Linked DNA regions of Neurospora crassa OR74A. The protein of the gene in region 2 interacts with the protein of the main gene of each other region in a pairwise test. Links are inferred from orthologs where the notes say so. Each region holds a gene or a part of one and is shown on either strand. Other genes may lie near its edges.

Region 1 (4,598 bases), on a different chromosome or scaffold from region 2:
CGCACTCTGGCATTAGTCTCCGCCACCACGTCTTGGAACGCTGTTCCGAATTTGTTGAGGCCGTAGCCCCTTTCAAGTTCCTGATCGAGCTCGTCCTCGTCTTCGTCCGACTCATCATCGTCGTCCGAGTCCGTATCAGAGAGATCCGAGTCGTCGTCACTATCTTCCTCGTTGTCCTCCTCCTCGTCCTCATCGCCGCCGGCGTCGGACTTGGCTTTCTTTTTCTCTTCTTTTTCCTTTCTCTTGGCCTCCTTCTTCTCGGCCTTGATCTTTTCCTTGATCCTTCTCTGCATCTCCTTGGCTTTAGCTTTGGCCTCTTTTTCTTCGGCTCGCTTCTTGGCCGATTCACGATCGAGAAACTTTGTGTCTGGCCCACCGCCGCCACCAGTACCGACGACAACATACACTCCGCGCTTGTCATCTAGACTAGCCACTACGAGAGGTGTGCCACGACCGCCATGGGCGAGCCTCCCGCCAGTGGCTTCTTTTTCCTGTTCCGCGAGTGCTTCACCGATCCAGAGCGCTAGCTTGGTCAAAGCGCCGGGGTGGTTGAAGAGTGTCGCATCTGGTGAGTCCTTGACCACGCACATGCGAAATGCGCGCAGATGAGATATTTGTTTCTTCTTCAAAATTGTCGTGCCAGTGGTGAAGATGGCCTTGTGTAGATACTGCGCCGTGGGAAGGCCAGCCTTAAGGGCCTCGATGTCCTCCAGCGCATCATACGCCTCCCAGAACCTGGGGATCCACTCCTCACTTTGGCTCTGGTTGTTGTCTACGTCGAGAAGATCCTGAGATGGGCCAGCAGGAAGGTCATCAGCACTAGTGGTGTTCTTCCCCACTTCCAACAGGGCTCCGACTACGACACCGACATCTTGCGCACTCAGGGTTGCCCTCCAACCCCAACTGCGTACAAAGCCCCATCCATCTTTGGCACCTCCACGATCTTTCCCGTCCGTGTCTATGGTCGGGACAAGTTCGTCGAGGTTGTAGAGAGACGCGTATTTTAGTAGTTTGGTGCGAAGTTCGCGCTTCAACATCATGTCCATGTGGGCATAACTCTGCTTGCACTGCACCAGACTGACACCCATCTTGGCGAGAAGCTTGTGTAATCGCTTCATGCCAGCCTCGCTCCACGTCTTTAGCCGAGAGAAGAGGTAGGGTGAGTGAAGCATGCTGTCGTATAAACTCCAGTGCCTAATAAGCAGGAACTTGGGCTCCGGCGACAACCTGATACTGGTATCCTCCGGACTTCGAGCGGTTGTTGGGATAATTCCTGTCGTCTCGGGGAGCACCCGGCCGTTTCCTATCTCTGGTGGGTTGAGACGTCTGACCTCGTCTCGCAGAAGCTGCCGTATTCTCGCACCACGCATGCCGAGCCAACCGGAAATGCGGGCGTCTGACCTGCGAGCTGCTACCGCAATACCGGCAGATGAGCGGCCGTACAGCTCCATCGACGTGACCCCAACGATCGCTAACCATAGCAGGTCGTTGTCTTCACGACCCAGTTCTGACGCAAGGGAGTACATCATGGACGAGATGGGCTCCGAATATGATGTACCCAGTCGGTAGTACTCGCGCAAAACTCCCTCGTTTTCTCGTCGTAGTCGTAGCAATCTCCGTCGGAGGGTGTTGGCTGAAGGGCCTCTGGGTGGTTGTGCAGCAGGCGGAGCTTCCAGCGCGTCACTGGAAAATAGGGCATCGTCGCGTAGAGATATGAGACCACGGTGTTGCGGTCGTCGAGGCGAATCTGGAATTGGACTCGACTGTATCTGGCATGAGAGATGTATTACTATGAAGAAATCGGAATGTACTCACCGAATTGCTTCTTCGTCGCTGTCTGGGTCGGTCGTCTTCATCATCGTCCTCGTCGAAGTCCGACCATGATTTCCTCTTTCTGCCTGCAACAACCGATGTATCGCCCGTGTCTTCCTCGTTCTCGCTTTCGTCTTCATCACTGTCGCCCAAGTCTCGGCCATCATCTTCGATTTCGGGCATATCCACTAGCGCCAGATACGCATCTCGTTCCTTGGAGAGCTCATCTTCAATGTCGCCGTCATCCATGACAATGATGCCGCCTTTGCCTGGTTTGTATGCTCGCTCTATCCGGCCGCCATTGACACCAATGGGGGTTCGCGCAGAGAATGTCCTGGCCTCTTGCGTCTCTGGTTCGAGGGGAAAGCCGCCGAAAACGTTGCCCAAGTTCCACGGGCGATGGGAGTCGATCACCCACACCTCTACACCCCCAAAGGTATTTTCTTCGCCCTCGGGCTCAAGTCCCAAAACTGTGCCGAGGTCAACCATACCACCCACTCCCAAGCATACGACGACTCCTCCAGCACCACCACGGGTCTCCATCATGGGGCTGACGAGCTCAGTGCCGGCACGTTCGAGGTCGGAGTAGCCAGCGACTGGCTGGATCTTGTGCGGAATATAGTCATGTTTGAGAAGTTGGGTTAGGATACGGCAGGCACATAGCGCATCGGTTTCGAGAGCGACCAAGATGAGGACGGGCGGCGATAGTGGATGGCGGGTATTTTGCAAGTGGAGGTAGAGTTTTGATATAAGCTGTCGAGGGAGATACATTGCGAAGGGAGAATCGGTATCGAGGGTGGATCAGCGAGGGAAATCGGCTGGGGACGGATTGTCGAGGCGGGGCGGCGAGGCGACGTCGTCGTGGGATATTCGCCGGCGTGGAACACTTCAGTTGTAGTTTACTCGAGGTAACTAACTTCGAACTCTGTTCACTGGGCAGAAAAAAAACCGACGGGGGATGCGCGACGCGGCCTGCCCCGCGTTAAGAGCTTTCTGCTCTGGACTATGTAGCTTGAAATATACGATGGCAAAAAAATACTGGTGTGATGGCGATGCACGTCAGTCGGATAGTGTTGTCGCGGTCGACAATAATTCGGGCGAGGGATGATGGTGTTGATAGGAGTGTTCCTTTGTTGATGTTGGCCAGGATCCTTTAATTGACATGGAAGGGCGGCCAACCAGCGCTGCGCTTCGGACGCGCTTCGAGACGCGACTCTGTGAAAGTGGTTTTGTGCCAGGGCGGGCACAGCGTGCATTACTTAGATATCAACCACTGCAGTGGACTGCAGGGGGGGCGTCAGCACAAAGCGTGCAGTGAAAGGACGCGGCCGGAGCGACCAGTTTGCTTGTACCTAGAGGTACCTCTACGTACTTGTAGTGGGGCTTTGGGTTTTGGGCAGGCAAGACGGGAGGTACCTATTGTAGAGCTGGGTAAAGTACCTACCTACCTACTGCGTACAGTAGTATATCAAGAAATGGCGGGGTACAACGCGAAGTGGAATTGCCCAGGGCAGCTGCTGACAGCCAAGGCCACAGGGGCACCCCGGGGCGGCCATCCCTCGACCGAAGCACGGGCATTGGTACAGTAAGTAGGTAGGTAATAAGGTAAACCAGGTAGGTACATCATAGCCCGGCAAATGCCTGCCCAGAGGACAACGGAACAACGGCCAGTAAGGTTCCTGCACGACAGCAATGCGATAGAAGCTTCCACTTCTGCAACTTGTCCACCTGGTCGAACGTGGAATTTCACGAGAATTTCTGCCGGCCGATGTCCCTGGATTTTAGTGAACTCTTTAGTTGCCGTGGAATCATCTGAGAACACTGTCACCGTGGGGCTGCCCAACAGCTGGAACTGAACTAATTTATCAACCTGGGTGACCAGCTGTGCTCTTTCCACTCCATCTCCTACCATAGCATAGGTAGGTGTCCAGACAGGCATCGATGTCCCACAGAAAGGTCCGCGGTGAAGGAACGGACCGGGGATGATGAACTATTCCGAAATTGCAGAGTGCGGATTGAAGTACAATACCTAGCACAGGAAGGGACCATCTAACGATGTGCTTTCCAATCCTGGATTCCGGATCAGCGTCTCCGGATTTCCGATTCGACCTATAATCCAGCTTCCATCTTCGCTTCTCTTCCTCTGTTTAGTTTGGTCCCTCTTTTGTCAATCCACATTTCCATCATTGCTTGGATCACAACACAACAACTGCCGCACACCAGACACCACTCACAACACTGGCCATCCACCACGACACCCACACCACGCCCCGTCTCGTCGGCGACAGTCTCAATTTCACTCCATCCGTGCTACTACAGTAGCCAGCCGGCCTGCCAAGCCAGCCACGACGGCGGCCACTCTTGCGGCCCACGCTTTTCTACGGTCAACCTGACCGCTCCTCTGCCTTCACTGACCAAAGCAGGAAGGAGGCTGTTCAGAGGAACTGACTGATGGTTGGGCCCAGCAACGAGGTGATCGACACGCTTCTCAAAACACTTGTGGTTTGTAAGTTGCCCTGGGGTGCGTCTACCGTGTAGTAGTGTACACTAGAGTCAAGCATGGAAGCGACCCGGGGACTTGGGCAGGTAGCCAGCCAGACCTTGCCAGATATACGCTACTTTTGGACGCGGTAACAAATTGCAGCGTATACCCATAGATCGGCAAGCTGCTGTTTGATGCGAGGGGAAACGATGGGGCCGAGTACCCATGAGGCCATGGGCTCACCACCATGTTTACTGCGCCATACAAAACCTATCAGCTCGTTGCTCACTTGGTACTTGATACC
Region 2 (4,532 bases):
GACTTGCGCCGGAGCTGGTCTTCGGCTGAGCCGCCGTCCTCAAAGGTGGGAGGGGAGAACTCGGCCTTGTTGATGAGGTCGATGGTATCTTGGATCGCCTCGGCGGTGTGGCTGCCTGGGAGAATCCAGGTCGAGTCGGGGGTCTCGTCGAGAGTAGGCGTGAGACGCTCCATACCGACTAGACGCATGAGAAGACGGAGGTGCGGGTTCTTGAACATGGCTGTGCGGCGAGCCTCGGTATCAGGGCGGATCGTGATATGTGGTGGTGCTGATTTGTTGGATCTCTCGTCGGCAGCTTCACCATCAGCCGCCCCCTCGGTAGTGGCTGCCATGGCCTTGTCTACGTTCTCCCATGCTTGCCGCTCACTCATTGCACTTGTCAGCTGATCCTTGAGCCACTGCAGATGCTCGACTTGCTGTTTGTCGATGAGTACGCTGACCGCAATGCCAATCTGCTCGTCGCGCTCTGTGGCTCGCTTGAACTCCAGCTCGGCACCAGGTCGTGGCGTAGTTGTGGTGACAGGCTTCTCATAGCCGTGCTCAAGGAAGTGCGTCGTGCTGCCAATCTTGGAAAAGAGCAACTCGGTGAACAACGCAGGCCGCTCTTGAAGCTTTTTGACACATTTCCGAATGATCTGCTTGGAGAGCTCCTCCCATTCCTTGAACATCGGCGAGCTTTTGTCGAGGGGCTCGGGACCTTGGACCATGTTGTAAAAGAGATTGATGATGTCTAGTCGGAATAGCATGATGCTCAGCTCGAGTTTGAAGGCAACGCGGTAGAAGTAGCGATGAGCGCGCTTCAGCTGTGCGTCGTTCAAATCCCGGTAGAATTTGGTGAAGGCGACAAATGTGTCGACAACACCCTGGGGAGCGAATCGAATGGCGAATTTCCCAAACTCGAACTTGCGCTCCTGAGTGACCCGCTCTGCATGTTGCTCATCGTCCCCAGAATCATCGGCATCATTGTCCTCGGGAACGCCAACGTCTTCTGCTTCCTCACCGGCGGCTCTAGCTGCAGCAACAGCAGCAGCAGCTTTGGCAGCCTTCTTCTTTCGGCGAGCTCGCTTCCGTGAGCGCACCTGCAAATCGACATTTTGCTTAGAGTAACCTTCTAAAATGCGGAGGAAAGTGTGGACAAGCTCGGTCGCGGCATCAAGATATTCGAAGCCTTGATCCTTGTATGTTCGAGCAATATTCGCGATAAGGTCGTGGGTTGTCTCCTCGTAAAAGAGACGGCTCAGGGTGTTTTCGGCAATCTCCTGGTCTTCCTCGTTGGGAGACTCTGACATCTCCTGGACTGTGAGGAAGATCTGGGTGTAACAGCGCATGACGGACGTGAGCAGTTGCCAATCCTTATCACTATAGGACCGGTCAAGCGCACGATTCATGGAAGCGAACATTTCCTGTTGGAGCACAGCAGCAACGAGGTTAAAACTGTTCACCTCCTCTCCGGCTGCGGACGTCGACTTCGACTCGTCCCTCTTGGCCTTTCTCCGCATCCGCTCGGCTTCGAGGAACCAGGCGACAAGGTAAAAGAACTGGCTCTTATGCTGGTTCAATGCATGCAATGCCTCCCGATCGATCGATTGCCTCACGTGCAGAAACAAGGGGTTGAAACCGGAGTCGAGGAAGTCTTGGACGAATGATCGCAGCTGCTGACGAGCTCTTTCATCTAGCGTCACCGGAGGGCCAAGGTCCTTGGGCTCCATCTCGGGTTTCCTCGCTCTTCTTGGCGGTCTGAATGTTTTGGAGTTATCCATCTTCCTCTCTCGCGTTTTTGCGTCCAAAAGAGCCTCTTGGCCAGATACCGTCACCATCTTGCCATCTGCTCGTTTCACCCAGATCATGGTCCCAAATCGACTGTGCCGAGTGGTGGTGGTTTTGTTGTAGGATTTTAGCATAGCAGCCTCCTTGCGCATCTCCGATGCCAGCTCTTGCCCCTTGGCTTTGTTGAGTTGCTTTTCACTGACGAAGAGCGAGCTGGGGTCAACTCTTTTTACAAGATGAAAGATGATTTCCATGATAACTACATCTTCGGTGCGGAAGTCCTCGCCCATGTTGGAGGCAAGGGTCAGCAGAGTGAGAAATATGTCTTGATACGAAAAGGCATCAATGGTTGCCGACCTGGATACCTGTGTCTCGTCGCCTTCGCATTTGACACCTTGCGGGGGTGCGATCATGGCAACGTTCCTCAAAAAGAAGAGAATGAGCTTGATGATGGCCTGGTCACGGGGTGTCCGCTCGCCGATAGGCATGGCCATGGAGGGAAGGGCTACCCTGACGGCGGTGTTGAGGATGGGTATCGCATCGAAGTTTATGATGGCGCGCTTGTAGCCAAGCTGGGCAAGCTGCAGAACGGGCATGTGACGATGGTGGTTGATGGTCATTTCGGCGCGCTCCTTCTCTATGGGCCAAGTAAGGGGCACCATGACCTCGAAACACGCCAGAGCAATACGGGCCTTGTACTTGCTGTCGGTTTCGCTTTGAGGCCATAATGTCAGGATCTGGAGCAGATCGCCGCCGACGAGGTTCGCTTCAGCCAGACATCTGGCGACGTCCATGCGATTGGTCTTTTCATCGTAGAATCGGATCCATTTCTTCAGGTCGCGCAAGACGTCTAGCGCTTCGTCACCGAGCTTGTAGCTTCCATCATCGTCCGCGCTGTAACCACCGAGCTATTCGGGTCGCCAGAGTCAGTACATCCGTGTATATAACGAGTCCAGAAGTGGACATACCGCAGAAACCAGGTTGGTGATGTGCGCCCGCACTTCCGGATGGACGACATCGTCGTTGATGTCTGCGGCCTCCATTTTGCGCAGAAATCACGGCGTCCAAGACCAGAACGGAGTCATACGAGTACTAGACAGACTCTCCCCAACTCTCAGCTTGTCTTGGAGGTCGTTTTGTTATCGCATGGATGGTGGCATTGGTCGGGCGCACTTTGTCGGGACGGGACACGCGTTTGTGGTGGTGGGAGACGCGCCGACCGTGTCGTACTTTTTAATGGAAATTGGTGGTATCTTGGTCTTGGCCTGCTTATCTCCCCAAGCGTTTTGTCGGACTGTTTTAAGATACCTGGGTAAGTAGGTACCTAATGTACCTAGCTACCTACTAGAGATACCTCTGCAGCAGTACCTGTGCACCCCGATTTCGACCTCGTGGAGAGCTGCGGAGTTACCCCTGTGGACGGGCAATCAACGACAGCCGAGGATCTTGAGTTGGCGCGGGAATCATGCCCGCAATTGCCCCCCCTGAACGACATGCTTGTACCTCTAGGTAGCGTACATAGTACTCCATACGCGCTAAAACCGACCCCATTTTCCCCGCCTAAGAAAAGGCTAGAGCCGCCCGTAGCTCCTGTACGGCAGTATGTTATGTCCCCCCCGTGGCCCGGGTCGGGCTTGTGACGTCGAGTTGGAGACGAGGACGGCCGAGGTTAACCGAATCCGACAACTTCACATCGTCGCATTCGCATTCTCTAGAGGTGCCCTGGTTGCCTACCTAGGTGTAGTCTTCCGATTTTTCTGTCCCTTTCCTTTCAGTCTCTCTCAGTCACAGTGTCTGCTTTGTTTACTTTCGCCGTGACGATCTCGCAAAATGCTTGCTAGAACCCTCGTCCAGAAGCTGCCCATGGGCGCTCGCGCCTTCAGCTCGACATGCGCCCGCAACGCTGCCGAGGTCAAGAGGCTCGGTGTCGTTGGCGCCGGCCAGATGGTGAGTCCGGCCCATATCATTCATGCCCATGTCTTCAACAACGGCAACGGCTGACTTGTCCTCCTTCTCCTTTAGGGCCTGGGCATCGCCCTCGTCGCCGCCACCAAGGCCAGAGTCCCCGTCACCCTTGTGGATGCCTCTGAAACGTCTCTAGACAAGGGCCTTGCATTCGCCGACAAGCTCCTCAGCAAGGATGTGGCCAAGCAACGCATCACTCAGGATGAGGCGGACGCCGCCCGCGCGCTCCTCCAGCCCACCACCATCCTCGAGGACCTGGACAGCGTCGATTTTGTGATTGAAGCTGTGCCTGAGATTCCCAAGCTCAAGTTCGACATCTTCTCCAAGCTGGCCGAGATCTGCCCTAAGCACGCCATCTTAGCCACCAACACCTCTTCCATCTCCATCACGCGCATCGCCGCCTCAACCACCAAGGACCCCAACGACACCTCCAACAGCTCGCGCGTCGTGTCCACGCACTTCATGAACCCCGTGCCCGTTCAGAAGGGAGTCGAGATCATCAGCGGTCTGCAGACCAGTCAGGAGACGCTTGACACGGCCGTCGAGTTTTGCAAGAAGCTGGGCAAGATCCCTTCCATCTCCAAGGACAGCCCGGGATTCTTGGCTAACCGCATCTTGATGCCTTACATCAATGAGGCCATTATCTGCCTGGAGACTGGCGTTGGCGACCGTGACTCTATCGATGCTATTATGAAGAACGGCACCAACGTGCCTATGGGCCCCCTCCAGCTGGCTGACTTTATCGGTCTCGATACCTGTTTGGCTATTATGAAAGTATTGTACGAGGAGACGAGCGATTC

Evidence for each region.
Region 1: the proteins of NCU09552 (region 2) and NCU04378 interact in binary tests that used the Saccharomyces cerevisiae proteins (3 or more experiments, as listed by UniProt). The link is inferred for Neurospora crassa OR74A from reciprocal best matches to the Saccharomyces cerevisiae genes TOF1 and CDC45.

Annotation. Positions count from the first base shown.
Region 1 is NC_026504.1:3,567,892-3,572,489, forward strand, and holds the start of NCU04378 (DNA replication initiation factor Cdc45), read right to left. Parts: upstream 2,942-4,598; 5' UTR 2,584-2,941; coding exon 1,816-2,583; intron 1,764-1,815; coding exon 1-1,763. UniProt on the Saccharomyces cerevisiae protein: Required for initiation of chromosomal DNA replication. Acts at the origin of replication. Also has a role in minichromosome maintenance.
Region 2 is NC_026505.1:4,563,973-4,568,504, forward strand, and holds the start of NCU09552 (topoisomerase 1-associated factor 1), read right to left. Parts: upstream 2,980-4,532; 5' UTR 2,811-2,979; coding exon 2,736-2,810; intron 2,676-2,735; coding exon 1-2,675. Other genes in the region: NCU09553 (3-hydroxybutyryl CoA dehydrogenase), read left to right, coding at 3,598-3,714, 3,790-4,532. UniProt on the Saccharomyces cerevisiae protein: Forms a fork protection complex (FPC) with CSM3 and which is required for chromosome segregation during meiosis and DNA damage repair. FPC coordinates leading and lagging strand synthesis and moves with the replication fork.